Linked DNA regions of Mus musculus: regions 2, 3, 4, 5, 6 and 7 are each reported to be linked to region 1. Evidence: microRNA targets listed by miRTarBase, many of them from high-throughput screens and not tested one by one. Region 1 holds a microRNA gene; each other region holds the end of a gene's coding sequence.
The links. Region 1 holds the annotated microRNA mmu-miR-15a-5p (UAGCAGCACAUAAUGGUUUGUG, at 2,353-2,374, opposite strand). A microRNA usually pairs through its seed, bases 2 to 8, with sites in the 3' UTR of a target mRNA and lowers its output. Matches are read on the target gene's strand: a 7mer-m8 pairs with bases 2 to 8, a 7mer-A1 pairs with bases 2 to 7 and ends in A, and an 8mer does both.

Region 2: the mRNA of Zmiz2 is a reported target of mmu-miR-15a-5p. The part of its 3' UTR that is shown has no 7-base or 8-base seed match.
Region 3: miRTarBase lists Rnf40 as a target of mmu-miR-15a-5p. Seed matches in the 3' UTR shown: 7mer-A1 at 2,361-2,367.
Region 4: the mRNA of Igfbp3 is a reported target of mmu-miR-15a-5p. Seed matches in the 3' UTR shown: 7mer-m8 at 2,540-2,546.
Region 5: the mRNA of Vps37c is a reported target of mmu-miR-15a-5p. Seed matches in the 3' UTR shown: 7mer-A1 at 1,355-1,361 and 7mer-m8 at 1,558-1,564.
Region 6: the mRNA of Slc31a1 is a reported target of mmu-miR-15a-5p. Seed matches in the 3' UTR shown: 7mer-m8 at 2,232-2,238 and 7mer-A1 at 3,108-3,114.
Region 7: miRTarBase lists Tle4 as a target of mmu-miR-15a-5p. Seed matches in the 3' UTR shown: 8mer at 1,881-1,888.

Annotation. Positions count from the first base shown.
Region 1 is chr14:61,629,723-61,633,927 of GRCm38, forward strand. Mir15a (microRNA 15a) reads right to left here and starts at 2,388; the gene lies at 2,305-2,388. It overlaps Dleu2 (deleted in lymphocytic leukemia, 2), which reads right to left. Exons shown (of 7, transcript NR_028264.1): 4 at 2,715-2,761. Mir16-1 (microRNA 16-1) reads right to left here and starts at 2,250; the gene lies at 2,158-2,250.
Region 2 is chr11:6,404,130-6,408,334 of GRCm38, forward strand. Zmiz2 (zinc finger, MIZ-type containing 2) reads left to right here. Exons shown (of 19, transcript NM_028601.3): 18 at 1-153; 19 at 861-2,033. The coding sequence ends at 968. Among named protein-coding and RNA genes, the nearest start is that of Mir7651, 4.6 kb to the left of the region's middle.
Region 3 is chr7:127,601,714-127,605,918 of GRCm38, reverse strand. Rnf40 (ring finger protein 40) reads right to left here. Exons shown (of 20, transcript NM_172281.2): 20 at 2,314-3,452. The coding sequence ends at 3,276. It overlaps 1700120K04Rik (RIKEN cDNA 1700120K04 gene), which reads left to right and starts at 1,474. Exons shown (of 1, transcript NR_027915.1): 1 at 1,474-2,016.
Region 4 is chr11:7,204,616-7,208,820 of GRCm38, forward strand. Igfbp3 (insulin-like growth factor binding protein 3) reads right to left here. Exons shown (of 5, transcript NM_008343.2): 4 at 3,754-3,893; 5 at 1,471-2,891. The coding sequence ends at 3,768. Among named protein-coding and RNA genes, the nearest start is that of Igfbp3, 7.2 kb to the right of the region's middle.
Region 5 is chr19:10,712,998-10,717,202 of GRCm38, forward strand. It overlaps Vps37c (vacuolar protein sorting 37C), which reads left to right. Exons shown (of 5, transcript NM_181403.3): 5 at 1-1,631. The coding sequence ends at 237. Among named protein-coding and RNA genes, the nearest start is that of Cd5, 24 kb to the right of the region's middle.
Region 6 is chr4:62,387,637-62,391,841 of GRCm38, forward strand. Slc31a1 (solute carrier family 31, member 1) reads left to right here. Exons shown (of 5, transcript NM_175090.4): 4 at 231-399; 5 at 962-4,133. The coding sequence ends at 1,163. Among named protein-coding and RNA genes, the nearest start is that of Cdc26, 19 kb to the right of the region's middle.
Region 7 is chr19:14,446,156-14,450,360 of GRCm38, reverse strand. Tle4 (transducin-like enhancer of split 4) reads left to right here. Exons shown (of 20, transcript NM_011600.3): 20 at 520-2,289. The coding sequence ends at 627. Among named protein-coding and RNA genes, the nearest start is that of Gm8630, 12 kb to the right of the region's middle.

The DNA of each region.
Region 1 (4,205 bases):
CCTAGCAACCACATGGTGGCTCACAACCATCTGTAATGAGATCTGATGCCCTCTTCTGGTGTGTCTGAAGACAGCTACAGAGCTGGAGTGAGTGGGCCAATTGGAGCAAGCAGAGGTCCTGAATTCAAAATTCCCAGCAACCACATGATGGCTCACAACCATCAATATAGCTACAGTGTACTCATACACAGAAAAAATGCTCCAAAAACGGAGTCTATAGTTAATTAAATCAACTTGTTAAAACTTACTTAATTTTACCTTTAAATTAGAATTGAGTAGTGGTTCTTTTGAGGACAATTCCTTAAAAAATAACTGAAATACTTTTAGGATCTCCACAACACACGGTAGAATTAATTATGAACCTTTAATCTGAAAAGGTAAGAGACTCCTTGTAAAAAGTAATGACAGAGTTAGAGGACATTATTGTGAGATAATGTGTTTTCTTGAACATTTTAAAATAATGACGTAAAACATTTAAAATAAAGCACATGGGATAGTTAAAAGAACATTTCCGGGCTGGTGAGATGGCTCAGTGGGTAAGAGCACCCGACTGCTCTTCCGAAGGTCCGGAGTTCAATTCCCAGCAACCACATGGTGGCTCACAACCATCCGTAACGAGATCTGACTCCCTCTTCTAGAATGTCTGAAGACAGCTACAGTGTACTTACATATAATCAATAAATAAATCTTTAAAAAAAAAAAAAAAAAAAAAGAACATTTCCTTTGAAATAATTAAAATATTCTGAATATATTTATAAAATTAATGACTGTTAGCTTTAATCTGAAGTTAAATATTAAGGCACAGATGAGATGTCTTTCATACTTTTGACTTATAAAAATCTCCTGTTAAACATTTTAGTGAAAAATAAGAAAAACAGTAATTATTAAGTTAGAAGATATAGGATTTATACCCTAATATGTCATAGGTTGCAAATTAAATTTCAGATTGTTTCCTCAGTTAACCAATAAAAAGGTCAGCTATTCTAAGGATTCTTCTAAATTTAAGTTTAAAAATTCAACGTACACATTTTAGTGTTATTCTCCTTCATTTAAAATGAAATATTTAGGCACATTATACTCAAGATTATGTTATAATCTGTAGCATTTCAAACTTTATCTGTATCTAAAGAAAACTTCAAATCAAGAGAAAAGTATTTTTCTATTATAAGTAATAATATGAGTTTAAATTCATGTACAATTTGGTACTTCCTAAACTCTTTCAAATAAACTTTTATATGGAAATGCTGGAAAGAGAGCTCGAGCCTTGGTGGTACTGGGTATATTCTGTACCACTGTAGCTCTCAAGAAACTCTGGAAAGGTGTTCAAGACTTAAAAATACTTGTTATATTATTAGTCAGTGCTCCATCTGTGGATCCAACCAACCACACATTCAAAACATTTGGGTGGCCAGGCATTGGGGCCTACAGTTTTAAACAAAGAATTTGGGAGGCGGAGGCAAGAGGATCTCAGTGAGTTTCATGGCAGCCTGGTCTACATGGTGAGACCCAGGCTCAAAAGACCAAACCAAAAAACTTATTTCTTGGACAAAAACTGCATTAGTACTGAATTGTACAGTTTTTTTCTCATCATTAAGAGAATAACTTGAATAATACAACTATCCATGTTAACATCCCACTGCACTACACATTAAAAACAATGTAGAGATAAGTTTAAATAAGTATAAGGGAGGATATGCACTGGTCACGAGCAGACATTTTATACAGGAGATCCAAGCATTTACAAATCTGGGTATCTAGAAGTCCTATAATCAGTTCCTCACACAGAAGTCATTATGTTTTGTTTGTTTTTAAAAGACAGATCCTTACATAGGTCTTAGACTTGCTTTATGGCCAAGGATGATGTTAAGCCTCTAATTCTCTTTTTTCCACTTCCTCAGATCTAGGATTACAAGTGTACCTGGTATGCAGTGGTAAGGCTAAAACCCATGGCCTTGTGCATGCTAGCAAGAAGCACTTGGCCAACTGAGCTGCATTACCATCCCACAATTATATAGTATTTTAACAGACACAATATGTAGAGCGTTGTTACTAACATCATTACAGAATCATACCAAACATAAAATCACTAATGCAATTAGAAAAACCGTGTAAACACACAAGTAACATCAATACACATTGAATTACAGTTGTAGAGTATTGCCAACCTTACTTCAGCAGCACAGTCAATACTGGAGGTAATTTCAGAATCTTAACGCCAATATTTACGTGCTGCTAAGGCACCGCTGACATTGCTATCATAGGAGCTATGAATAAAAAGACAGGTACTCTCTTCAGAAGATCAGGTCCTTGTATTTTGAGGCAGCACAGTATGGCCTGCACCTTTTCAACATCCACAAACCATTATGTGCTGCTACTTTACTCCAAGGGTTGGTTTTGAAAACTCCTAGCACCTCAATAGTAATTTACAGAAAAGGCTTTTTAGGAAAAAGTAGAACACATAAAATCTATGTTTGAAAAAAATCTAACACTGGTATGTGCATAATTTTATAGGCTTTCAGCAGAATAAAAAGTATTTCCATATCATAAGTTTAATAAAAGCGTACAGAAAACTTAATACAGTGCTGTAATTTATTGTAGTCATGAAACGAGAAAAGCAAGTCATTTTCCCATACCAACTTAAGAACCTCATTTATTAAACTAACAACTTTTGAATGTGCTTAACACATGAAATAGCTACAAAAGTTGGTTTTTACCTTATTAAGAGCAGCACATCTTTCAAAGCCAAATCCATAGGACAAAGCTTCATGTTAAAGGAAACATGTAAGAACAAACATGTAAGAGCTCAGTTTCAAGAAATTTATACTAGCAAAATATTTAGAAGACATACACATGAAACATATTCCCCAAAAATATATAACCCCCAATCTACACATGAACACAAGATTTATCTCAATATTGGAATAGTTATTGTGAGTTCAGTGTCATTTATTATTACCCAGAACATCATCTTAGGATAACAGGTCTATTTGGTTTCCTAAAAGGATATATCAGAAATCCTGTAGCTCAAGCCTAAGTAACCATTTGTGTGTTTCCCAGTTAAAAAGGCTAGTCCTTTAAAGGAGTATCATTTTATACCACAGGACTTTGACTTAGCTGAAACAAAATTTTTACTACGTTAAGTTCCAACTTCATTTTATGTGTGTGTGAATATCTAGGTTTTCTTACACTATTAAGAAGACTCTTTTCTGTTTAGTGGGGGACTTAGCCATCCCTTCACAAAGAACTGTTCTTATTATTCCAGTTCATACCAGATTTTCCATTCAAACTAGATTACTGTGTAGCAAATGTTTTCTAGTGGGTCAATGCCATTTCTCCATTCCCGTTCATGTTGGGTCATTTGAAATATCAAAACGTCTTTAAATCTTCAAACCTTTGCTTTCAAGTGTGCCAGCTTAAAAAAAAAAAGTCTGAAAATAAAGATAAAAGCTGCTAAAAGTGATTTTGTCCTTTATCTTTATACAATGATTATAATTTCAAATTCAGTGGTTTTTTGAGAGAGGTTTTGAGGACAGTGGCTGCTGTCCTGCAATTCATTCTATAGACCAGGCTGGACTGGAACTCAGAGATCTATCTGCCTGGTTTCCCTCCTGCATGCTAGGATTAAAGGCGTGCACCATCATGCCCCGTTCCAAATTCAGTGGTTTATATTCTGGCCTAAGGACCAAAATAATTTTTCTTTGTTGGGTTTTTACATAGTTCAACTTTTTACTAATGTTCTTAAAAGGAAAAAAAAGCCATTCTGAAAAGAAAACAAAATGTTTTGCTTAAGAAGGTAACTTGAGTGTACATAGGAATACATGGCAATCTTTAAATACCTGAAATTAATATTATTCGTATAAGAAAACAGAATTTTACAACAATTTAAGAAGATAGATCAAACCAAATTGTCCTATTTCCCCCTTCAACTCTATTTGTTTCCATTAATATTTTTCTTTAGAAACATTTACTTTTTACCTTATAAAACTTCTAATATTAATTCATCTTGTTTCCATAAAGCTTAGCACTTCACAAACATTTATAGGCATGTTGCCCAAGCTATATCATCATCTTGACTGCATCAGAATAATGGGATACTTTTTGAATTTAATAATAAGCAACCAGTAATTTGTTGGAGCACAATGACAGAATACAGAATCTGAGGTCCGAACCCTGACACTGTCCTTTGAGTGTCTCCCATGGCTGTT
Region 2 (4,205 bases), not on the chromosome of region 1:
CTACACCATCCAAACCCTTCCCCTGCATCCCGGCAGCCCCTGGGCCAACCAAACACAGGACCCATCAGCGAACTGGCTTTCAATCCTGCCTCAGGCATGATGGGGCCTCCCAGCATGACTGGGGCAGGGGAGGCCTCAGAACCAGCTTTGGACGTAAGTAGCCAGTCCTGTGTGGGGTGGGAGCCATCGGTCCCTGGGTCTACACACCTTGTTTCATAGAAGGGATAACAGTGAACCTTCAGGAGGGAATGTCACCCAGGGGCAGCTGTTCCACACAGGTTATACCTGGAATAGCTATAGGGTACCAGGTACCTGTGTGTGGTTAATGAGTGACCTGCCCTTAGAAGCTTTGGAGCCTGGGTTGTGAAGCTCACAGCGCTGTCCTCAGAGCCCAATGTGACCTGGGCATTTATTCAGTTCTGCATCTTGATAACGCAGGCAGTTTGTGAGCAAGAGCATGAGTGTGTGTTCACTGTCCTTGGACCCTAAGAGAAACTCAGTGAAGTTCCAGCATGAGGAAGATGAGGAGGAGCAGGCCAGAGCAGAAAGCCCCAGGGGCATGGAATCCTACCATGGGCCCTGGAGATCCTTTTTTAGGCCTGTGCATCTCCAGTGCCACCTCCAACTGTTCTCACTGGCTCCTGGGGACCAAGTCTCTAGCTGTTGTCCTGTAGTAGCCTTGCATGGGGCGATACAGAGGCCGCTGAGTACAGCCAGATGGCTTCTCTCAGGCACCCAGCATTTGGCAGGGAAGGGCACTTTAGCATTCCCACTGGGCCTGAGGCCAGAACAGCTTGGCCACTGGAAGTGAAGGGTCTGCGCTGCGCCCACAGCTGCTAATGTGTTTGCTTTGCCCTCAGCTGCTCCCAGAACTGACCAATCCTGATGAACTGCTCTCCTACCTGGGCCCACCTGACCTCCCCACAAACAGCAGTGATGATCTGCTCTCACTCTTCGAGAACAACTGATCCTGTGGTGACCCCTGGCCTGGCGAAGACACACTCAAAGATGCCACCACAGCCTTCCCTTCTCACCCAGCCCCACAGGCTGCCTGCTGGTTCTCCCTGAACTCCCAATGCACACACCCTGAGCTGGGGCCTGCCACTGCCAGCCCTGATGAACTGGAAGCAGCCCTGCGCTCCATGGGGCCCCAGGCCAGTGGGCCTCACAGCCTCCCTCCATCAAGCTCACTGCTCCAGAATGGTTCTTGTGAGGTGCCTGCAGGCCCCGTCAGCCCCACGTGCACAGCCCTCTGCCCCAGACTCATGGCCTTGCACTTGTCCTTCCACCCTGCCTGCTCCTACCCAGCCTGCATCTTGTCCAGCACTGATCCTTCTGTTTCTGTTCCTCCTCAGCAGAGCTGGCTGCTGAGGCTGGCTCTGTACCCTTGGTCTGCAGCTCCAGTGCCTGAGCCTGGCAGCCTCAGAACCATACAGAGCACCAGCCTTAGGGGGCCTGGCGCTCCCACCCAGCTGAATCTGGTTTAGGGGTTCCTCCCTCCACCCTGAGCTCCAGGTGGAGGCTGGGGTGGGAGCAATAAAGCACAACAATGTACATAGTGTAGAAATGCCAACAGCTGGGAAAGGGAGGGACCGCTATTTCAGTCAGCATGTTCCTCTGGACTGGCCTGCGCCTTCCATGTGGTGTCTGCCCCTTACTGAGCACAGACAGCTCAGGGGAGGTTCAACTCCTCTAGGGGTGGGCTTTCAGGCTCAGCTCTATGTAAATTCTCCAGTGAGCTGCTCCCCCAAGTTTCTCTTTTCTGTGAAAGTGAAGAATTAGTACAGCTGTGTTTTTTAAACCACCTCATTTCCACCCTGCGGCCCACACCCAGGTGGGGGAGGCCATTGCATCTGCTGGCAAAGCGCCTGGGCCTGCAAGCAGGGTGCTGGCCTGTTGTGTCTCCTGTCTGTGCAATCTATTAAAGGACTCCCTCTTGGTGGGCTTGGCTGAGTCCTTCCTTTGTGCTGAGGGTCTGTGGCCTTTCTGTTCTTAGAACCCCAAATAATAAAAAATCTAGATGTTTTCATCCAAGCTCAGGATATCCCTGAGCTGTAGTAAATTTCCTTTCCCCTGGAATTTTCCAAGTTGGCTTCAGCTGCAGAGCTATTTTGTAAAGCGTCTCAGGCTTGCCCTGGAGACATTTGCCACCATGTCACCTTCCCTGGGTGTGCCCTAGGGCAGGGAGCCAGCTATCTGACAAGTGACTGCAGCATGACCAGGGGCCTCAACAGCAGTAGGGATTGAGCCTGTGTTCACTGCCCCTTCTTGGCCTGCGCCCTGCCTAGACAGCATTTCCTGTGCAACAGGAAAGGTGAGAACCAGGGAGGGGTGAGGGGAATCCTCAGCTGGCTGCCAGAGCCTTCCCTGCAGTACTGGAGGAGGCTGCCGGGCAAGAGCAAGGAACCGCCTGCAGAGGCTCAGTAGCTGTCTGACATTTGAGAACACACCGGTGGGCTCCCTAGGGAGGCCGTTTCCAGCTTTTCTGTCCTCTTGGCTGAGAGTGGGGGAGCGGATAGAAGTGGAGAAGACAGCAGTGGGCCAGGGCCAAGGGAATGTAAGGACGCCACAGCAGTGTACAGCCTCTGTGAAGGAAGGGGAGGAAGAGCTAGACGAGGGGAGGAGAGGGAGCAGGGTTGGAAGAGGCAGGATGCCGGCATAGACTCTGTAATAGGTACCTGCGGTCTGGAGAAACCTAGAGACCAGCAGCACCATAGCCATCTGTCCTGACCACAGCCATCCAGAAAAGCCAACCTCAGGAGCTGGACAAGTGATCGAGGAGTGGCTGCCAGAGTCCCTGTGCTCGGTTGTGAATGGGTGACAGAAAAGGTGGCAGAAACTCAGTACTGGCTTTTATGAAGCTCTAGGCTAGTGAGCTGCACAGGACCTGTACATGCATTCCTTTCAACAAAGCAGGCGCATGGACCCAGTGAGGGCTGCTGGCTTTAGGGCTCTCCACCGCATTGCACTGGCTCTGTCACTATAATTTATGTATGTGCCAAGTATTACATAACTTTAATAAAGTTGACTAGACCTGACATACAGAATACATGCAACATACCCCAGGATATATAGCATGCCTCAGGCAGTTAGACTGGAACCTGCTGCCTCTCTGCAGTGGAGTCCAGCACACAAGCAGGAAAGAAACAAATTTGGAAATCACATCTGGTTTTGAGACGAGACAGGCTCCCTCATGAAGCCCAGGCTAGCCTCATCATCCTGCTTTGCCTGAGTGCTAGAATTACATGTGTATCACACCGTCTTTTAACAACTGATAGGTTAAAAGAAAAAAAATGTTCAGACAAATGAAAACAGCATACTCAACCTTGGAGCAGATCAAGGAGGGAGTGGGTAACCTTGTGAGACAGAATCTCACTAAATCTGGCTGTCCTGGAACTCAATGTGTAGAATAGGCTAGCCTTGAACTCACAGAGATCAACATACTGCCTCCTGGATGCGTGAATTCAAGGCATGCACCCTCAAACCAGCCAACAGTCTACATTTAAAAGGTGGAATTGTTGGTTGGTTGGTTGGTTTTCCGAGACAGGGTTTCTCTCTGTATCCCTGGCTGTCCTGGAACTCACTCTGTAGACCAGGCTGGCCTCAAACTCAGAAATCCAACTGCCTCTGCCTCCCAAGTGCTGGGATTGAAGGCACGAACCACCACTACCCAGCAAAAGGTAGAATTCTTAGGGCTGGAGATTGATTCCCAAAATAGGGGAGATCACAACCATTTGTAATACCAGTTGCAGGGGATCCATCCAATGCCCTCTTTTGGCCTCCTTGGGTACCAGGTACACATGTGGTGTATGGACATAGAAACAAAACATACACAAAGTGGAGGTAGAGACCAGCATGGTCTGTATACAGGACCACCAGGGCTAGCTACACAGAAAGACCCTGTCTCAGTAAGTGGAGCTCGAAAGTCTGTACTTAGCAATATATTTAAAGGGACTAGACATAGCCAAGAGGAAGGGAGGGAAGATTAGGGCAGAGAAAGTGGGGGGAGGGCTGGGTAAGGGAGCTGAAGAGATGGCTAAGGAGTTCAGCATTCCTACAGCTCTTGCAAAGGTCCCTCAGTTCCCAGCATCCACATTGAGTGACTCACTTGGTTTTGTTGGTTTTGTTTTTTTCTGAGACAAGGTTTCTCTGTGTGGCCCCCACTATCCTGGAATTTGCTCTGTAGACCAGGCTGGCCTCAGAGA
Region 3 (4,205 bases), not on the chromosome of region 1:
AAGGCCCCCCACCCCTGCCAAGCATTCCTTCTGCCCTTCCTTGGACCTATTGTGCCTGTCCCAAATCCCAGAGTAAGTTGTCGTTCTTTCCCTCTGTTTCAGGAATATGGGTGGGTTAGTGGAGAGGGGGACTTGCCTTTTCATGTTCCTGGGTCCCCAGCCCTGGGAACACTAAGGACTCCAATAAGAGGAGGACCAGAGCAATACCTGATTTAAAGGCCAGAGGTCATGACTCCTATAGTAGGCTGGATGACACTTGGAAGTAACTACAGAGGACGGGGTCTCAAGAATAAGGGATCCCCGCCAGGCAGTGGCAGTGCACACCTTTAATCCCAGCACTTGGGAGGCAGAGGCAGGTGGATATCTGAGTTTGAGGGTAGCCTGAACTACAGAGTGAGTTCCAGAACAGCCAGGGCTACACAGAGAAACCGTGTCTCAAAAAAATAAAAAATAAGGGATCCTCTATATAGAAGTCAGGAGTGGGGTGGGGATAGATTATCAAATAGTTGGGGTTGGCTTAGAGCAGGCCAGACAAACTTAATAGGGACTGCCTAATACCCTAAGAAAACACATAACATTAACAAAATAAGTTATGAAATAACAACAAAATAATTTTATGGTTAGGGTCACCATAGCACGAGGAACTATATTAAAGGGTTGTAACATTTTGGAAGGCTGAGGACCACTTCGTTATCGAATAAGGGACCGATGGAGGTGCAGTCACAGAACACAGGCCAGAGTCTAAGGAGTGCTGAGAGAGAGTGGCACCATCTCTTGCCCTCCTTAAACAGTGGTTTTCAGGCCTGGAGCTTGGGAGGGAACTGTAGGTATAGCTTTACTGTTCCGTTGTCTCTGGATGGACCTCAGAGAAAGGCAAAGTGCAAAGGGGAGCGTGGTTACAGTTGAAGGAAGAGATCAGAAGACAGCACGATTCAAGCCGAGGAATGTAGCAGCTAGGGCCTGGGGTAAGTTCTGAGAGAAGTCCCCATCAGTGCGCTCAGAGGCAGTTGCCCTAGCTCCAGCTCAAACAGGAACACATCCTGCTCGGTGGTGGCCAGGGGAGGGTTCTGCAATCGATCAATCGATCGATCTCTGACTTGAGAGAAGAAAGCACACAAATTTGCACCAGTGACAGACCAATGGCTTGTTTTCATGGCTCTGCAAAGACTGCACACTCCAGGCACGAGGATCCTGGGACTTTTAGCCCATTCAGCTTGAGCTTAACATGAGGGAAAAGGTCTGCTTTGTGTTACTGTTAGGCCTTACTGCCCACATGGAGCTCTGAGTACTCCCAACCCATCCATTTGAGGACTCACCTCTAAAGGAATGGGGTCCATTACTTAGGAGGATTATGTTGGACAGAGAACTGACTGATGCCCCAGTGCACAGGCCTCCTAAGACTACTAGCTCAGTTCTAGCTCTGTCTAGTCTCTATGATGCAATATCCTGCTTTCCCCCACTCCCCCCACCCCCAGCATTCTAGCCGGGGTGGCTTTCATGGTGGCCCAATGTCATCTCCTATGGCTACTCGTGCTTCCCCTGCAGCTACTCGTGCTTCTGCGAGCGTCCCAGTCACTGCCAGCTCCACACCGGAGGTCACCGTAGCTCGCATCTCAGTCTCCAGTCCCACTTGGTTCAGCCACTGCGGCGTCACAGAAACTAGGCGCAGTCAGATAGCAGAAGGGGCCCGGAGTCCTCACGAAGGCAAGTCTGCGGAGAAGGCTGAAGAGCCTAGAGAAGGTACTACTGTGGCTAAGCCCGAGGCCACAACCATGGCTATGACTGCTGTTCCCACACCCACCTCACCTTCGCTTAGCGCAGGCCACGTAGCTAATCCGTAAAAGCGCCACCGGGAGAGCCACCAACACCACTCTGAACCCAGAGACAGCCCTCCATGTTTGAGCAAACTGTTTCCAAGGGTCCAGCTAATGGCCCAAGCTACAATGAAAACCCACCCTGCTGAGTTGTTCATGGTCTGTGTTCGCAGAGTACGGGTGGATAAAAAGCCTACAAATAAGACTGAAATGTGGTCACAACAGGTAAACTTGGCCCTTAGAGGTAAAGGACTACATATCCCAGTATGCAACCCACAAAGGCTGTTATCCATTCGGCCAATGCCAACCCATAATCAACAACTTTTCCATTGTGGAGGCGGCGGGGTGGGGCCCTTTGTAAACATGTCTGTAGATATATTGCTGCTAACCCAAGTGGTTGTAGGGTGGGCTGGGCTGGTTTCTCAAATGTGTCCAGCTTCCAACCATGCCAGGGAAGTGCTTGTGAGGTGTAGCGCAGAGACTCAGGTTAGACCAAATGGACGGGCTTCTCTGCAGCCTAGGGTTGGGTATTTTATTCATAACAATTAGCAGCCCATACACAACACCTCTAGAGCAGAGGCTGTGAGTCCAAAAGCTCCTGTAGCCATCTATCTGCAGCGCCGTCTCCCAGCTCCAGCAGACCCTGTCTCCGGCGTTCAGGACCCTGCTTAGGCAGGATCAGTGTAGGCTAGCTGGAGCACGGGCAAAGCTCTTCTACCTGGAATGCCTGCAAGTGCTAGATTGTTTCTTCCCTCCTGGCAAGTTGCACCTCCACAATTAAGATCACCAGGATGAAAGAAAGCAGGGCTAGGGCCAGGTACCCAAGGGACCACCAGGATGCGTGAGAAAGGGTAAAGTGGACTTGGGAGGAAAGGAGGAGATTGGAAAGAGTCTGGCTAAAAAAAAAAATGCCCCTGAATCAGACCATGAGGTGGCAGTGTCCCTGACCTGAATAGGGTGCACACCCAAGAGTGTCTTCAACACAAAAGCTACACCAGGGTACAGGAAACTCCACTGGAAGGCCAAATCCCTGCCCAGGCCTGGGGCTAAGTAAGTGAAGCAAGGCTCCTCGGGCCAGGACCCAATGTGAAGCCCAGGTCCCTGGTCAGCACTGAGCTTGTGCAGATGGGTGGTGAGCCCTTTCCTGGTGGAGGAATTCCCTTCTAGGGGTAAGGATGTATCTGTCTTCTCAGTAGAAACAGGTTTTGGTCAGCTTCCAAGGTTACAGTAGGATGCTGTGTACCTGGGAGTCCCCGAGGCTGCAGATCTGACATTCAGGAAAAGATGGCACTCAGCTTGGGTGACCCCACCTCTCCTGCACGCACCAGTAGCCCCAAACCATCTAGGCACATAGGGGCTGGGCTCATGGAGTCTGAAAGGGAGGTTGGGGCCATTGCCCCTGGGGGAGTGGGGAGCTGGGGCACAGCCCCTCGGGTGTTCAAAGTCCCCTGAGTTTCAGGTTCAGCTGATGTACACACGGTGGAAGTCGTGGGCACCAAAGGCTGCGTTGCACTTGGGACATTTCCTCTGGCGGGCCTCATAGCGGCCCCGCACACATTCAAAGCAGAAAACGTGGAAGCACTTGGTAAGCACGGCATCCTTCTTGCGGGTGTTACAGCAGGGGCAGGTCAACCGGGCCTAGACCAAACGGACACAGTAAGTCTGGAGCAAGTCTGACTGTCCCCAGACTCCAGGCTAAGGCCACCAAATGGTTGAGGCCTCTAATTCTGAACATAACTTCTGAAGGTGGGAACCAGCACTGCATGAACGAGGATACAGGCTCAGAGCCAAGTTTTCAAAATTAGAGTTGCTTACACCTATAGTCCCCAGGAGACTGTGACCATAATCAGCCAGGGTCACATAGTTAAGACCTTCCTCAAAAAGACAAAACTAACCAAAAATACAAATACAAAAACAAACAAACAAACAAAACTCGAAAGTGTCTAGGTTCTCCTAAGGACAGGGATAGGCCCTAACTCCTGCATCTCTTGCCTTAATAGCTTTTTTGGGCAAAATCCCCAAGTGGTCACTTGTCATTTCTCGAGTACCTGCTCAGTCACTGCTCAACAGGGCAGAACTGTGAGAAGCATGCTATCTGCACAGTCAGTCTGACCCACCCCTGGTGCCAAGGCCCTGCTGTGGACTGTCCCCAACTGCCACCAGGAGGCTCTCAGTGTCGGCTCCAGTCACCACCTTGGGTGAGCACTGCTTGGCCTATTTGGAGTCTCAGCCAGCCAGCTCAACTCCCCAAATTACTGTTTCTCCATCTCTCAGGACAGGGCCATGCACACTGGAAAGCCTTTCAAGGCTCGTGTCTTCCCCGAGAAGGCCAATGGGGGGATAGCTAATCAATGACTCTGCCACCTTCTCCACCACAGTGCTCCAGAGACC
Region 4 (4,205 bases), not on the chromosome of region 1:
CTGGGAGAAGGAACACAGTGGTGGGTGCCAGCACTCCTGCACTGTCAAGCCTTGATGGCCATACTAATGGTTAACAACATTTAACCCAAACCAAGTTCTTTTCTCTCTTGGCACTGTGGCACCAAAAACCAAATCAAACCAAAACAAAACAACACAACAACCCCCCGCCTCCATAAAGTCTCCAAACAAAAAACACCCTCCCCCAAATCAAACCAAACCAAACCTCAAAAATCCCTGGTTGCCAATTGAGCTTTGAAGGAATATTTTACTTTATTTTTAAAATGTATTTCCTGGTTAGACAATAAGAAGTTGGTAGGGGAAATAGCTCACAGATCAATTAACAGAGAAGAATGGGTAGCCTTTGAATTAAAGGGGATGGGTCTTAGCTAGTGAGCTGGAGGCTTCTTAATGACTTCCAGGTCTTCTATATGGCATCACATATGGCTCAAACAGGTTTTGCCCAGTCCTATCCAGGAACAATGAAGTTCCCCATGTCTGCAGGGACTGGTCAGGTGGATTTGTCTCTGAAACAGAGTATTGGATAGCAAAAAGAAAAAAAAAAAAAAGAGCAGTTCTCAGGTTTGCAAGGGTCTTTCTCTGGCAGCAGCTTTCTATGGTCCTTCTATGAACACACTATCGGTTTCCATCCTCAATATAGCATTGTAATGTCGTAATCAGAGGCACTGACTGGCCTGACTGTGAAAACCGCATGCTTTAGCTTAGGGGACCCGTGCATTGATAAAGCCAGCAGGGGAGTATGTCTTTTCCGATTATGTAGTGTGGGACTGGCACATAGTTGGCCAACAGACATGCAGCTGAGCTAAATCTCAGTTGATCTGACTTTCATAGGCTCCTCCCTGTGGTCACACTGTACACCCCCAGATCTCCAAACACCCACACAACTAAACGCTGTGACGTCACCATCACTTCAGATGTCTGTTGGATGACATGGCTCTAAACAGGAATTGGTTTGATGTCATGGTCCTAGGACACACTTGAATTATTTTGGCATGGGACTGTTATTTTAAAACCAAAGTGACTGAAGCAATCGCAGCATCCTTTGGGGTTCTCCCCTTTTTCAGGACTCAGCCCATGCCCCTTCTCCAAGCACAGTGGTGGCAGAAAAGCCAGTGATCTCATTCACATCATCTGCATGGGGAAGCAGGGGCACCGACTGGAAAGGCAAGGAAACAACAAAGGTTGTCATGGAAACAACCTAGTGACCTGCTTTACCTGTCTAGACAATAGCTGCCAACATAACCTAGTGGACCTGGATATTCCTCTGCATGTGGCCCGGTGTCACATGGATGCCAACCAAGGCCACAACAACTGTACCATTGAGCTTCTGGTTAGACATGGAGTCAGCTATGGTATCTATTCATGTTCATGATAGTTTTCTATGTCTAGAGTATTTTGTCCTCTCTGAATAATCTCTTTAGTGACTCAAGACCCAGAAACAGACAAAAGGGCTTTTTTTTTAAATGATAAAAACTTTATTTACTATTTATAAATACATTGCAAGACAAACTTTTCAAAAATACATTTTTCCCCAAAAAACTTAATTAAAAAAATAAAGAAAAGCTGATAGGCAGGCAGAATGTCTTGAGATTCCTTTGTGCTCTCAAGGAAAGCTCTGTACAGCGCATGTCCACCCCGTAGGATGCAGTACAGTCTCCTCTCACCCTGCGTTGCCAGACCTCCTCCGCCTCGGCCTGGGGGAGAGCAGCCCAGCCTCCAGACACAGGCTCCTTTCCTTGGGCGTGTCTGCAGTTATATCACCTAACATCTCTAACACTTCATCTAGGATTATCTAGTACAGATTCTATTATATCTGGGCTACGTTGTATACAATGTTAACAATTAAGAACGTACTTTGTCTGCATATATGCGTGAATTATAAAGAGAGTTTGAGAAGGACCCCAAGATCAACATACAGGTGATTTTCTCCATGCTCTTACCAGGCTCTCAGACAAGCCACTCCTCTTTCCTGTTTAGATAGGAAGATGAAAAGAAATCTGTGTTTTTGAAAAACTGCCTTCCCGCAGCCCCACCTCACAACAAACTTTATTTTGAGAGGCTGGACCAGAAAACATTGTTTTTTGAAGTCATCTGAAGAACTAAGCGCACCATTATTTGCGACATCTCTGAACGTGGAGTCCGATGCTGCTCCTCCCACTTGGGGCTTTCTGCTGGGCCAAGTCATCAAGAAGATGCCTGACAAAGAAAGGTCCTTATCCTTGTCCTTATGGGCTCCCAGAGTGCCCTAGAACATTCTCAGTCATTTTTAGTAAGAGAGACAACACATATCCTCTCCCACAGTTCCCAAGTAGATCAGGCCACTTGCGGATACAGGGCCAGGCCCTTATTCAGAGATGGCACAATAAGGACCATGAGCCTCAGGCATATGCTTCCAGATGTCCGGGTCACTCGGTTATGGGTTTCCCCATTCTCCATAGGGCCTGCACTTATTTACAGGGGATGGAAAGAGGATTTGTCTATATCAGCCACGGAACGTCTGAAATCAAGAAGGCAGAGGGCCAGCAGCATTGAAGCCCGTACTGGGTGGGTGAGTTAGGGGGCAGATGGCATCCGGGGCCTGGAGTACACGAGTGTCTCTCATAAGAAGCAACAGGAAAATTCAAACTGCTTTTTGTTGACTACTGGGAAGTAGGAAGATGATCAAGTTCACTATTTAAATGACCAGAGGCATTTCAGAAATCTGTCTAAACTTTGGTTTGTGTGTGTGTTTGTTTTCACTCAGTTCACCACACTCACACACACACACACATAAAATATATATATATATATATAAATCAAGGCTGTAGCCAGCTGCTGATCATGTTGTTGGCAGTCTTTTGTGCAAAATAAGGCATATTTGAGCTCCATATTATCTAAAAGGAAGATGAAAGAAAGAAAAAGAGTAAGACATACATTGAAATAATTACCTCCAATATTCAGGGGGGGCTCCCCCTTTTGTTCAGCATGAGGGGGTGGACCTCAGTCTATTCTTTCTCACCAAACACCATCAAATACTTTCATTGTTAAAAAGTGCTATCCATAATTAGAGTTATTTTTCCAACTGATGAGGGAAATATTCTAAGTAAAAATGAAATCTTTTTCTGCCTATGAAAATTGTCAAGAAAGCAAAGCATATTTACTCTTTCCCATAATTCCTTCATTTACTGAAAGAAAACAAAATGCTAAATACAATAATATTCTCCGAAATGGTGGTTTAGAATATCAGTGTTACATTAGTTTTATTAGGTTTAAATAATTCCTTTAAAGATCAAACTAACCACAAACTAAAGGAATATTCTAATTTTCAAAAAAAATTATTACAACAAAACTAGGGACATCTCTAATTCAGAAACCAAATATGCCAGGTTCTCCTGGAAGAAAACAGTGTGCTCTAACCCTCAGGACTACTGCGGATAAAGTTTTATTTAAAACCCCCCACAGTGCTTGCTTGCATATGAAATAGTGCATATTTGAAGTCATTTAGAACAGAGCTGAGAGTTTTTGAAGCTACACTGACCCTGGTGTCTGTCCTTGGGGGTGTGGTTAGGTTAAGGACTTTCTTCTCCCTGAACAATCCCCTTTACCTGCCTCTCTCTGGGCCTGGCTGCAGCTCCTGGGCCAGGGAGCCCAGGATGAGGGGTGGGTACCTGGCAGCCATAGTTGCTCCTAGCAATTCCCCTTAACCTCAACCACTTTCCAAAGGAGCTGAGTCCGGGGCCGGAACCTCTGGCTTACGTGGCACGGAGCATCTACTGGCTCTGCACGCTGAGGCAATGTACGTCGTCTTTCCCCTTGGTGTCGTAGCCTGGCAAGGGCTGCCCATACTTGTCCACACACCAGCAGAAGCCCCGCTTTCTGCCTTTGGAAGGGCGGCACTGAGGGAGAGAGAGACAAGACCGGGACTTGAATATCATGTGTACTGGCTAGTTTATGTCAACTCGACAGACAGAAGCTAGAGTCTCTAGAGAAGAAAAAACACCAGCTGAGAAAATGTTCCCAGCTGACTGACAAGCTGACAAGCCAATGATACATTCCTTGATTGATGACTGCTGTGGAGAACGCTACGCCTTGGCAGGTGGTCCTGGTGCTATCCAAAAGCAGGCTGAGCAATCCATGGGGAGCAAGCCAGTAAGCAGTACTCCTCCATGGCTGCAGTTCCTGCCTTGAGTTCCTGACCTGACTTTCTT
Region 5 (4,205 bases), not on the chromosome of region 1:
ACTAGTACCTCTGGTCCAGGGTACCCCTTAGTGGGGGGCCGAACCCCTGGTCCTGGTTATCCTCAGCAGTCCCCCTACCTCCCGTCAGGAAACAAACCTCCCTACCCAACACAACCTCAGCTCCCGGGCTTCCCAGGACAGCCCCAGCCTCCTGTGCCCCCTCAACCTCCATACCCTCCTGGGACAACCCCTTCCTATGGCTTCCACCCTCCAGGGCCTGCCTGGCCTAGGTATTAGTCCTGGTCTGTGTCCACCTTCTTCCTTCTACCTGCACCACAGCCTTTGGCCTCCATTTGCTGAGATTTGAGGTTAACACTGGACGTGGTGGTGATGCGCCCTGAAACGCTGGGACACACAGAAGCCCCGAGCCTCGAGTTGGAAGCACATAGGCCTCCTGAAAGGCCCTGAAGAGTGCAGCATGAGTCCTTCTGGGAGCTCCTTCTGCCAGGGACTGCTCAGCACATCCTGAGTGGCCTGCTGGGAGCCCAGGGCTCTCTGGTGTCTGCATGAACGGGTGTGTTCATGTCTTTGCATAGCTACCTGCGCTTGATCCCTGACAGCTGAACCAATGTAGAATAATCTTGATGCAGGGTGACCCTGGGTCTCGGACCCTGCTCATCCAGGCTGTCCCTTGGAGCTTGGTATGTTTGATGTGGAATCACATGCCAAGTGATGACAGAGTTCTGTCTGTCCACTAAAGGATGCTCTACCTTATTTACCACGGTCGGGTCGTAGGAAGGAACAGTTACGAAAAGTGGACTTTGATTCCTGAAAGCCATATTTTAGCTGCCGTGCCAATGTCAGGCAAGCGTGTCCTACGTGCTGGCAGAGACCATAGCAGCAGTGGTATGGTGAGAGAGCTGGGGATGCCAAGGGAAACCCAGGCCTCAAATTGTATGGTTGGACGTCCTAGAGGTCACCCTGGAGCCCCGGGCTGGAGTGGAGGACCAGGGTTACCTCCCAGCCACTTTTCACTCCTAGGGCCCTCCACTTCTGGCTGGCTCTTTCTGAGGTTCACCCACCCCTCCACTCCTTTAGTGCCTTGAATCTTATTTGCTAGCAGCCCCCTTTCTCTTGTTTATCTCCTTCCTTTTCCCAGTGTCCCCGCAGAACAGACACCAGACAGAACACCCCCATGGTGCTTCCCAGACATCATCACTACATTGGGGTTGGTTTCTCTACACTCTCATTCTCAGAATGTAAAGGGTAGGGACTGTGAGTGCAGCCCCGGCTCTGGGTGGGCTGGAGCCTGCTTAGTAATGAAAGTGACTACACTAGTCTACAGGGGTTGCAGCAGGTGATGCATCTGTGTGGCTGGTCCAGATGTAAATCAGGTCTCAGGGCGGACCCTGGAGCTGCTACGGGTTAGGAAATTGTATGTGCCTTGAAACATCCCTTGCCTGGGTACCCAGCCTCTGGTGGGCCAAGGTGCTGGGGGTCAAGGAGGAACCCCATCTTCTGGTGCCACTCTGCCCACCGGCCACGGGTGCATTACCACATCTGCTTGCTTCTCCTAAATTATTTATAGCGTGGAATCACTAATGGCATCTGTGAGACTGCTGCTGAACTGGATAATGACTGCCCATTTGTTTGTGCAATTGCCACAATAAATGTTGATGAGTTCCGTGGTCTGTGGTGTCCATGATGAGTTTGAGAGCAGGTAGGCCACCACCTGTGGGGTGGTGACTTCTGCAGCCTTAGTCTGTAGAGCACCTTCCATCGGTGGCCACCTCTTGATTCCCCCCACCCTCCCACTCCACGTCTTCCTAGGGTTTGGCTCTTTCTACTTTCTTTTCTGTGGTTTTCCTTGGCTGTTTCTTGGAGCCTACAATGCTTGCTTTGTTCTAGGCTACATGCTTAGCTACTCAGTTCCACCAGGGGGCACCAGTGCCTCAGTCCAGGTTGGGAGGTAAGTGTTCCTGTCACCTGGTGAGCATGGTTGTAGTCTATCCATTTTTCTAAACCAAGAGAGGGAGAGGGAGAGGGAGAGGGAGAGGGAGAGGGAGAGGGAGAGGGAGAGGGAGAGGGAGAGGGAGAGGGAGAGGGAGAGGGAGAGGGAGTGGGAGAGGGAGAGGGAGAGGGAGAGAGAGAGAGAGAGAGAGAGAGAGAGAGAGAGAGAGAGAGGGAGGAGAGAATATGTGAATGAGAATGTGTGTGTATGGGTGTGTGTCTGTCTGTCTGTCTCTGGGACCAAGTGGCCTGCTGTGGGCTTGGCTGTGCTCGCCACAGCATTTCTTTAAGCACTGTTGGAGAACGGTTATTCAGAAGCCTAGGAGGATTTGGGAGACCAGGTTCCTGGCAGTTTCCTTGAGTCAGCTCTCTGCCCTTTCTTCCTGGCAAGGTGATAGAGATAGGTTGCCTGTGATAGAAGCCCAGAGGTGCTAAGGATCACCAGGATTATGGCATGTGTTTCCTAGTGCCCTCTCCACAGCCACCCTAGCCTTCCTTGCCCCAGGTTTAAACAGGAGGCAGGCCTGTTTAAATGGAGCAGTGACCAGGTTACACATGGAAATAGGACTTGGGTTTTGATCCACTGAGTCCCAGGGCTGTAGGGTTCCTGCACCATGCACTGTGGTGCATAGAAGTCCCACTTGAGGACACAGCCAAGATCTTACCACAGGAGTTAAGTCACCTGCCTTGGGTTATACCAGAGTGGTGGCGGGGGCATAGGGCCAACTTTTCTAAGAAAGGACTTGGAGAGCCACGTGATCTGCATGAGGCTCCCTCTGCCTTTCTTCCTCCTTCCGTCCTTCCGGCTGCATTGCTAACATGGCAGCATACGATGTCATAGGTCCTTTCTAGCTCCTCTGAAATAGTTACCAGATCACGTAGACCTCTTGCTGCACTCCAACAGTGACAGGCCCTGGGTACAGAATGGGGCTGGAAGAGCCCTGAAGAGTCCTCCAGCTCTGAGGCAGGGATTGCTGCCTAGTGATCTAAGGAAGCTTCCTGTTAGGCTTTCAGTTTCTTTGACCTCTGTGAGGAGGAGGCACTGGAATTATCTGTGTACAGGTGCCTTCAGAGGTTGCCCAGTGACAGGAAAGTGGGCAGGAAGGTAGGGTACCCAGGAGTGGGAGGGTCAGTTCCTATTCTGTTCCAGTGATGTAAAATGGAAACCCCAACGCAGCCCAGGATGCAACAGGGCAGCCTTGGTGGCTGAGATGTGTGCCATGAACTTCCCAGCGGAAGAGCAGTGCTGGCTCCTTGAGGGCCTGCTCCTACATCAGAGCCTAGAACTTGACAAGCTGTAAGGAATGAGATTGTTCCTCCTGGGCTGTGTGACCTGGCAGGTCTCGTTGGGACACATCTCCCAGGCCCACATAGCTTGAGAGTTTTACGTGTATTCCTATATGGAGGTCTTCCTCAGTCCTTCTCGGCCTAGACAGGTAGGGTCTCTCACTGAAGCTGAGCTCACTGATTGAGGTAGGCCAGCCGGCCCGGGAGCTCCAGGGCTCGGCCTGTTTCTGCCTCCCCGGTGCTGGGATTTTAGGTGCCTGCTGCTATGCCCAGCTTCTTATGTGGGTGCCGGGGATCTGAACTCAGGTCCTCATGACTACAGTGCAAGCATTTTGCTGACTGAATTATCTCTCTAGCCCCACAAACAGTTTTTTAAAGATTCCTTTTCTGCTAAGCTTTTTGGTGTATTTTTCTGTTAAATAGGCTCTGGAAGCTTTGAGATCGCTGGTAGACATAAAGAGCTTTACAAGAAAGACACCATGGGAGGCAGTGGCTGCCTTGGATTCTGCTTTCTAGTAGCAACCTCTTAGCTCCCTGTCATGGGGCTCCTTCACTCCCTTAGGTATGAGCAGGCATGTGATAGTTCCTGTTTCTGAGTTCTACTGTGATTAGTAGCTGATATGTGAGCTGGGCTGTTAGGATGGAGACCTAGGGCTGGAGAGATGACTTAGTAATTATGAGTGAATACTGCTCTTGCAGATGACCATAGTTCAGTTCTCAGCACCCTTATCAGGTGACAGTCCAGCTTTAGGGGTCTGACCCTGCACATCCAATCACAAAGACACATCATATACATATAACTAGAAATTAATAGAAGTGGGGCTTGGGTGGGCAGAGGGTGTTGTAGGAAGGGCAGAATACTAGGCAGATTTCTAGAGTGATGGTGAGCCTAGCTCCCCGATTCTCTGTCTCTCCCCCCTGCCCCCCAATATGGGAGAGTGACTTTTGCTTTCCCAGAGTTGGCTGCT
Region 6 (4,205 bases), not on the chromosome of region 1:
AGCCTGATGCTTTTTCTGTTTGGTTTGGTTTGAGTTATGCCTTGCCATGTAGCACAGGCTAATTGTGTACTTGTCATTTTCTGCCCCAGCCTCCTGAGCACTGGAATCATAGGCCAGTGCCAATGTGACCGACCAGCAGTATGCTCACTAAGTTTTGACTGTACCGTCACCTCTTCCTTCTTTTCTCTCTTCCTCCCCTCCCCTTTCCCGTCCTGTCCTTTTTTCCTCAGAAATGGCTGGAGCCTTCGTGGCAGTGTTTTTACTAGCAATGTTTTATGAAGGACTCAAGATAGCCCGAGAGGGTCTGCTTCGAAAGTCTCAAGTCAGCATTCGCTACAATTCCATGCCTGTCCCAGGACCAAATGGAACCATCCTAATGGAGACACACAAAACTGTTGGGTAAGAAGATGCAACAGATCCAAAGGGAAATTCTAGAGATCTCTTAGTAATGTAGTAAGGCAGGCCTTCTTCTTCCGGAGTTGGTGATTCTAACTTTAGAAGTTCCAGGTTGTGGGCTATGGTATTTGGGATCCTGCAAAAGCACATACACGTTTGTTCTATGTTGTAAGTGTCACTCTGAAAGAAGTTTAACAGTATCTGGTTTTTAAAATATTTGCTATGTAGTAATGGGCATTTTAAGATATAGTTAAGATATAAAAGAATGGCAGAATGCGATTGATTCCTTCCTGTCGAGTTAAATCTAATCAGATATGATGGATGCCGGTAGTCCCAGCACTTGGAGAAGGCTGGAGGACCAGAATTCAAGGCTATCCTTGGCTACACAGTGAATTTGAGACCAGCTTGGGCTCATGAGACCCTGTCTCAAGGAAAAATCAAAAGTTCTTTACAGATGTGTGCGTGCGGGCGTCAGTTTCCAGGATAGCCGTGCTGCAGTCCAGTTAGGCTGTTCTCCTGAGCTGCAGGTGCCCAGGTCTGACTCTCCTTCTCTGCTTATCCCCAGGCAGCAGATGCTGAGCTTCCCCCACCTCCTGCAGACAGTGCTGCACATCATCCAGGTAGTCATCAGCTACTTCCTCATGCTCATCTTCATGACCTACAATGGGTACCTATGCATTGCAGTAGCAGCAGGGGCTGGGACGGGATACTTTCTCTTCAGCTGGAAGAAGGCAGTGGTGGTGGACATCACAGAGCACTGCCATTGATATCAGACTCCACATATGGCCTTATTAATTGCTGTAGGAAGCATCTTGGGACTGGAAGATATGATTCCCTTTCCAATCATCCCTTCTCTCTCCTGTCTATACATACACACCTACTGAATAGAAGCCTAGCTGACAGTCTCTGAATAGTGGTTTTTCTAATAAGATGAGATTTTTTTCTCTTGGGAAGTCACCTGTGAGATGTCTTCTCCCTCATCATCCTGAGCCTTATCTAATCCAGGTAGCTTCCTAGTTAAAGACTTGGTTATCTGCTTCTTTTTACTTCTCCAGGTTTTGATTTGTTTTGTTTTGTTTTATTTGCGGGGGGAGTGGGATACATTTTGTTTTAAACAGATATGTGTATTTGATAGGTGGGATTCTGGGTCAGTGATAAAAAAGGATTGTAACAGGATTGATGGCACTTAGGGACATCTCATCCAACCGGGACTTAAATTTCACACTAGAAATGAGCTCCAGTCTTAACTCAGTGAATGGGAAACACATGTTCCTCTCTCCAGGTTACACTGAAACCTGTGTAGTGTGTACAGAGTGGGTAGGGACTAAACACAGGCCTAGCGTCTATGAGTCTGTATTCCTGCTCAGTCATCAACTTGTGTTCCTATTGAACATTTGATCAGAATGAACTTGCCAATCAAAACAAAAACAGGACAATCAATTTAAGACAACAGAAATAGAGATTGTTAAATAAAACCATTAGTATTTTACTTTGACTCAGTACCTTGGTTTGTCCCAACTGAATAAGAGTTTGTATTGTGTGTGTGTTCCTTGAAACCAATGATTTTCAAACTTTACAGCTTCAGAATCACCCAGAGGGCTTGTTAAGACACTACTTGGTGGACCTCAACCCCAGAACCACCAAATTTGGCATTTCTAAGTTCCTAGGTGATGTTCTACTCACAGTCAGTCCAGAGGATTACCTTAAGAGTCTCTGCATTAAACTAGAAAAGTTGCACCTAGAAGGGACAGAGGGTGGGGCTACCTGCTATCAGGCATGAACATGTGAATTGCTGGTTAGTAGGTGGTATGCCTTGGGCACATGTCACATCTAAATGCTGCTGGTCGATACTTTATCATTCCACAAACATTTATTCACTTCCAAATATGTTTTATGTATACCCACATACAGTGTGTGGGATTACAGCCAAAGTATACTTGTCAACATATACGAAGTCTCTAGTCCTAACTTTTAAAGATCTAAGGTTCCTTGGAAGTTATTTGAAGGCCAAGAGACCTTTGCTCTGCTGTGTGAGTCAGCCAGTCAAAAGCCCAGAAAGGCAAAAACCCAGCTTTCTTGTTTGGAGAGACATGGGGCATGTGTCTGCCAATAGCCAGTTGTTCTCAGTGTGCACTATGTAGGTCCCCATCCACTACTTGACCACCTTTATCATTTACGGGGATTTACATAGATTACAGTGGCCAAGACCCCTTTCTCAATGAAGGATCTCATTGGACGTCCTGTCAATCATTAATCTACATGCAGGCTTGTTCCCACACTACCTCTTTAAAGCGATTCTTCCTATGCTGGTCTGTTCAATCCTGCCCTCTTTGGTGCTAGATCCAGTTGTGCCTCAGAGCAGAAGAAACAAACCTGCTGTCTTGTTGGCCCAGTGTTTCAGTTTTGAAGTGTGTACTTTCTCCTCTGTGTGTGCCAATTACATATTAGAGAACAAGGAATGTGTACTTTGGTGGCTTTGAACCAAGAAAAGGTTTTAAGCCTACTGGATGGAGTCTAAAATTCTTAGAAATCAACTTTAGAGCTTTGCTTTTCTCTGAGTTCATCCTGCAGTGAATGACAGGTACTGACAGCCCAACATTAAGGTGCAAATAGCCTGTTTGTCATATCAGAAGCCATGGAATAATAAACCCAGGGGAATCCAGAAACCACACTTAGTGGTAACCCTGGTGCTCTCTAGAATCTCCAAATGAGCTGCTATAAAACACCTTTCAGGGGCTGAGATGCAGCTCTGGTGTGAGTCACTTACCTAGCTTATGTCAGGCCCCTAAAAGTAATGCATAAACTGTCAGAATCGGGACCTTATCGTTGAGGTGAAAAGAACCAAGGCCCGTAGGAACAAGGTGCTATGAATCTGAAACCAAGAGAAACCTCAGTTTGGCATGGTTCTTCAGGGTAGCTTCCGAGTAGAAATAGTCTGCTGCAAATCCTAAACTTAAGATCCCTGCGCTAGGTTGCTAGAGACTGCGGTTAGTGCAGAACAGAGGTAAGCCTAAGTCCCATCCTCATGAACTTCAATGCCCAGCCTTTGTGTTTATTTTATCTAAATGTCTCCTTTCATCTGTGGGAAAGCTATAGCTGAGTGTCTTTAGCCCCTGCCCTACTTTTCCCTCTCTGACTTTTTTCCCAGGTAGCTTAGTGTTTAACATCTCTCTCACCATCCTGATGCAGTAGCATGGCTATTGCTGAGGTTATTTTACCTAATAATTAGAACTTTGTATTTACAAAGCAAGTAGAGGTCTTAAATTTGCTTCAAGAAGCAGTTGCTCCACTGGAATTTCTATAAAGCTGGGTAAAGGGTTAGCAGAATTACAGATCTTAAGTACTAACTGCAGTCCAAGATGGAAGAGTACTCAGCAGCCACTGCCCTCATCAGGAACCTCCTCGGCATCCATCAGTCTCCTCACTGCTCCTGTGCGCAGGGCTGTCCCTCCCACACTCCCTTCCAGGCCGTGGCCTTCGCTTCCTCATTAGAATCAGGAGAGTGAGGCACAGTGTCCATCATGCCATTTAATCTTGTGCCTGCCCTTTCCAGCCTCTTCAAAAGATGCATCCAAACAACAGGTCTGCATTTGATGTAATGCCTTAATTACTGGGGCCACATTCACGTTGACTGTCTCAGAGACTGTAAGCTCCCGGAGAGCAGGGTTGCTGTAATGGGAATGTTTAAGTGTTGTGTGCAAGAAAACAAAATAAATATTTTGATTTTCGTGATTCTATGCATGTCTGTCTACACACTGTCCAAATAAGCTGGTTCTGGGACGTCAGTCTCCTCCATGGCATGGCCTTGT
Region 7 (4,205 bases), not on the chromosome of region 1:
GTACTCTCTAGTGAAGAAAGGGGGGTTGTTTGTTTGTTTGTTCTTTTATTTTATTGTCTGTATGCTTGTCTGTTGACCAGGTTGTATACCTGGTACTTGAGGAAAGCAGAAGGAAACCCCTCCCCCAAACTGGAGTTTAAAAACAAACAAACAAACAGTTATAAACTGCCATGTGGGCTCTTGGGTTTGAACCCATGTTCTCTAGAAGAGCATTCAGTGCTCTTATCCAGTGAGTTCTCTCTCCAGCCCCAGGAATAGAGTTTAAAGAACTAGGATTTGCCTCATTGCAGAGCCCGCTGACCATTGAGTTACCTCTCTTTGATGCCTCAGGACAGGAATCCTTAGCCTAAGCTAAGGATGATGTCCTCCTGCCATGTCTAGGAATGTTGGTGCTGCCCTCTATCTGCAGATGTACTTGGTGCTCTGGGGAGCACTTTGGTTGTACATCTGCTCAGCCACACCCACCAGTCCTGCTGCTCAGTTCCTCTATGTGACATTCTTGATATGTTTCTTCCCTAGTCCAAAGAATCCTCATCGGTGCTTAGCTGTGACATCTCTGTGGATGACAAGTACATTGTCACTGGCTCTGGGGACAAGAAAGCTACGGTTTATGAAGTTATTTATTAAGGACAAATCTTCGTGCAAACTGGACTCCTCCTCATAGCACTTTGCGCTGTTGTACTTTTCTGTTCACCCCTCTCCCATTCTAAAACCAAGGATTTCCAATACTCATTGCAGTTGTGGAGTTTAATCCCTTCCCATAGCCCCACTTCCTCCTTGCTATTGAATTGTGAATACTCATTAAGAACCTGTGATACCAAATCTTCAGCTATCGTCTTGGAAGAACATGGAATACCTAACAGTGAATGGAATCTTTAATTATGTATTATATCTGTAATATATTTATTTTGTTTAAAGAAGGCTTTCTAACAATGACTGACTAAATAAAGCTGTCCGCTCCTGCATTGATAATGAAGGTGCATTGTATTTGATGCTCCACCCCTCCCTTTTGGTGAGGGAGGGGAAAGGAAGGTTTAAAATAACTGATTTAAATGTCACTAAATGTAGACTATTGACTGTATAGAGATGTGAAATGTATAATTACACACGGAAGCAATATGTTGCTGTGTTGTTATGAGGTTGTTTTGTTTTATTTTCTACTTATATTAAAAACATTTGGAAATTTGGCTGTTTGAACAAGTAGAATATAACAGGCCAAGTACTATTCCTTTGAGTCTATTTGGGCAACTTTAACCAATATGTCTATAACTTTAGATTACATTCAACAAAAATAATTAGATGTTTTTCTTTTTTATTTTTTACTTGTTGACAAGTATCTTTGTAATATTTTTTAATTCCTTTTTTTATTGTATTATAGACAGATCAAAAATTAAATTGGGCCTCAAAGAGAGAACTTAATTTCTTCTAAATATTTTTGCCAAATTTCCTGGCAGAGGAAGCTGTGTGTCTCTGGGCAGTTGTGATGCTGTGAGACATGGCAGGCTGTTTTGTGTCATGCTCTTTAGGAGCTGTAGGTACAGGAGGACTGCTTGCCTACCGCTGTGCAAAGCAAGTCTTTCCCACACAAAGGCCAGCAGAGGAGGGTTTGCAGAGCCCACCCTCTGAAAGCCACAAAGAAGAGCCTCTCCCGGGATGGTGGCTTGCTTTATTTACCTCTGGTTCTTTCCATGTCTTAGTTGGATGTCCCTGAAATGGACACAGGCTGTGCCATTGTGCCAGAAACATTGTGTTATCTTTTATGTTGTTGTTGTTGTTGCTGTTAAAACTATAACATGTGACTCCTTTTTTATTATTATTTTTTGTTTGAATGCTTTAAAAAGATCTTTTAAGTCTGTGGATCTGCTGATGTACAGTGCCTTTGCTGCTATGGATCAAAATCAAGAACTGTGTAGATAAACTTTATTGTATAAGTAGAAAAATCACTTAATTTCATACTAGAAATGGATGGATGCTGCAAGCTGAAATGGACTGTCATTGACGTTCTTTGTGTGGTAGCAAAAAAAATGGTGTCTTAAGTGCTTAGTGTTTGATGTCATTAACAGTTTCATAAAACTCTACAGTGTAGAAAGATTTTGATACTAAACTGTGCATTGTACATAGTTCTAACGCATTGTGTTGGCCACCAGTACTTCTATGATGGTAGATTGTTTGTGCATTCAGACTTTTAAGCATTAAACATAAATAACTTCTAGAATGATTATTTTCTAATTATTTTTGCTAATTGCTTTGTCTATGCCACTCCCTATATTAAAATCACTAGTTATATTCAAGTCAGATTGTTAAGTACTATGGGTTTTGAACTGTTTCTTTTTTTTTTTTTTTTTTTTTAATTTTTCTTTTGAGATAACCCAGAAAGCATGAAAGAAGTTATGGAAGGCAGGTGGTTGCCAAGTATTTACTGAGCCTCTCATTTTGTTGACAGTCTTTCATCTAGAAGCAGTCCAAAACTCTCAAACTTGAACCATTTAGATTTTTACTGTCATTCTGGTAAACTAGCCACTTAAAGCTACTTAAACTTAACTCTTGGAACTAATTAATATTAGAAACCTTTTTTTGCCAGTAATACAGACTAAATTTCAAGTGCTCAATAGCTCCACAGGAGCTAACAGCTATTGTACTGGACCTCACAGATTTTGGTAATGTTTCCCACACTGTTGTGAATGCTCTGGAGCTAACACAGCATTCAGAATTTGACAGATTGGACCATTGCCAAGTGTGGGGGTTTGAGGACTTTTCAAAAAAAACACACAAGTTTCTGGAAGCATCCTGGGTTAGATTTTTTTTTTTTTTAAGACTAGGGCAAAGAAGAACTTGAATCCTAATTTGTGGGACAGGATTTGGGATCGTCATGGTAATCTGCAGTGATCAGCCATAGGAGACCCAGCTAGGTACTAAGTGAGTGAATTCCAGCGTTATTCACCCATGTAGACCAAATCAGCAAGTCCAGTGAGATGCCATAAGCTGGCTGCATTGCAGGATGGTATGCAAATCCACTGAAGCTGCTGAGAAATAAGAGATCATTTCTTAAGATAGTAAGTGACTATCCATAGAGATCAACTCGAGGTGGGGAGACACTCTTTGTTGGGCGTGGAAGGAATAATGGATATAGAGAGGGCCTTGAACTTCTGTTAGTTACTCGTCGGCATGGTTCTGACAACATAGAAAGTCAGAAGGAAAAAACACGTTTGCACATCAGAAAACACAACTTATATGTCTGGTAGGGTTACCCAGAGAGGCACAGAGAATTGGCTTTATAAACTGACTCTGTGGCAGTTGTTGTCGATAGATAATGCTGAGAGCTTATCCATTCCCCAGTACTGGGCTTATAAGAGTATATTTTTCTTATCTCTGTGACAGAACACCTGGTGGAAACAATTTAAGGGAGGATAGTTGGGTTGGGGGGCAGAGGGGCAGGCGAATTGTTCGGTTGCTTTTTTGCTCACTGTTACAGAGCTATTTCAGTCCAGCAGAAAAGGCATGGTAACAGTATTGGCTCCATTTGTGATTGCAGGCAGAGGCTTTAATCACATGGTGCTGACTGGGAAGCACAGTTCACAGACTGGAACCAGGGGCAGTAAAACCTCCAGAGACCCCCACCCCTAGTGACCTCTAGTGACTACTGCTAGGCCTCTTAAAAGCTCCACTGCCTCCCCCAAATAATACTACTAGCTGGGGAATAAGGTCTAGAATCAAGAGGCATACCTGTATAAGTTGGAGGCCTGTCTTAATGTACACAGAAGTTTTGCCATAATTATTGAACTATAAAGGTAATTTTAAGGGTCTGGGACTATGCCTCTGGTGTGGCAAGTGCTGATGATCTGATACCTCTGAAAAGAAGGAAAATAAGTAATTACTGAAAGTCAGTTGCTGCTTTCACCATAAATTATGCTCTTTGTATAGTTCTTGCAGAGTCCGAAGAACAAAGAAGAGGCATCTCTCTCCAAAGCAAGAGAAAATTTAGAATGGGAGAACAGAGTTGAGTAAACAAACTATAGAAAAAGGAAAAGGCAGGTCAAAGCAGCCATTGGACCTTCCTAGACAGGCGGTTCTGCTGCAAAGTGGCAGACCTCCAGATTTCAAAGCTGCATACCTCTCTGAGCTGATACTTAGCAAAATGGCTTCATTGGGGTCTACCTGGAATATTGTATGTGCCTGCAACACTTAGAAGTGCTGGGAATTAAACA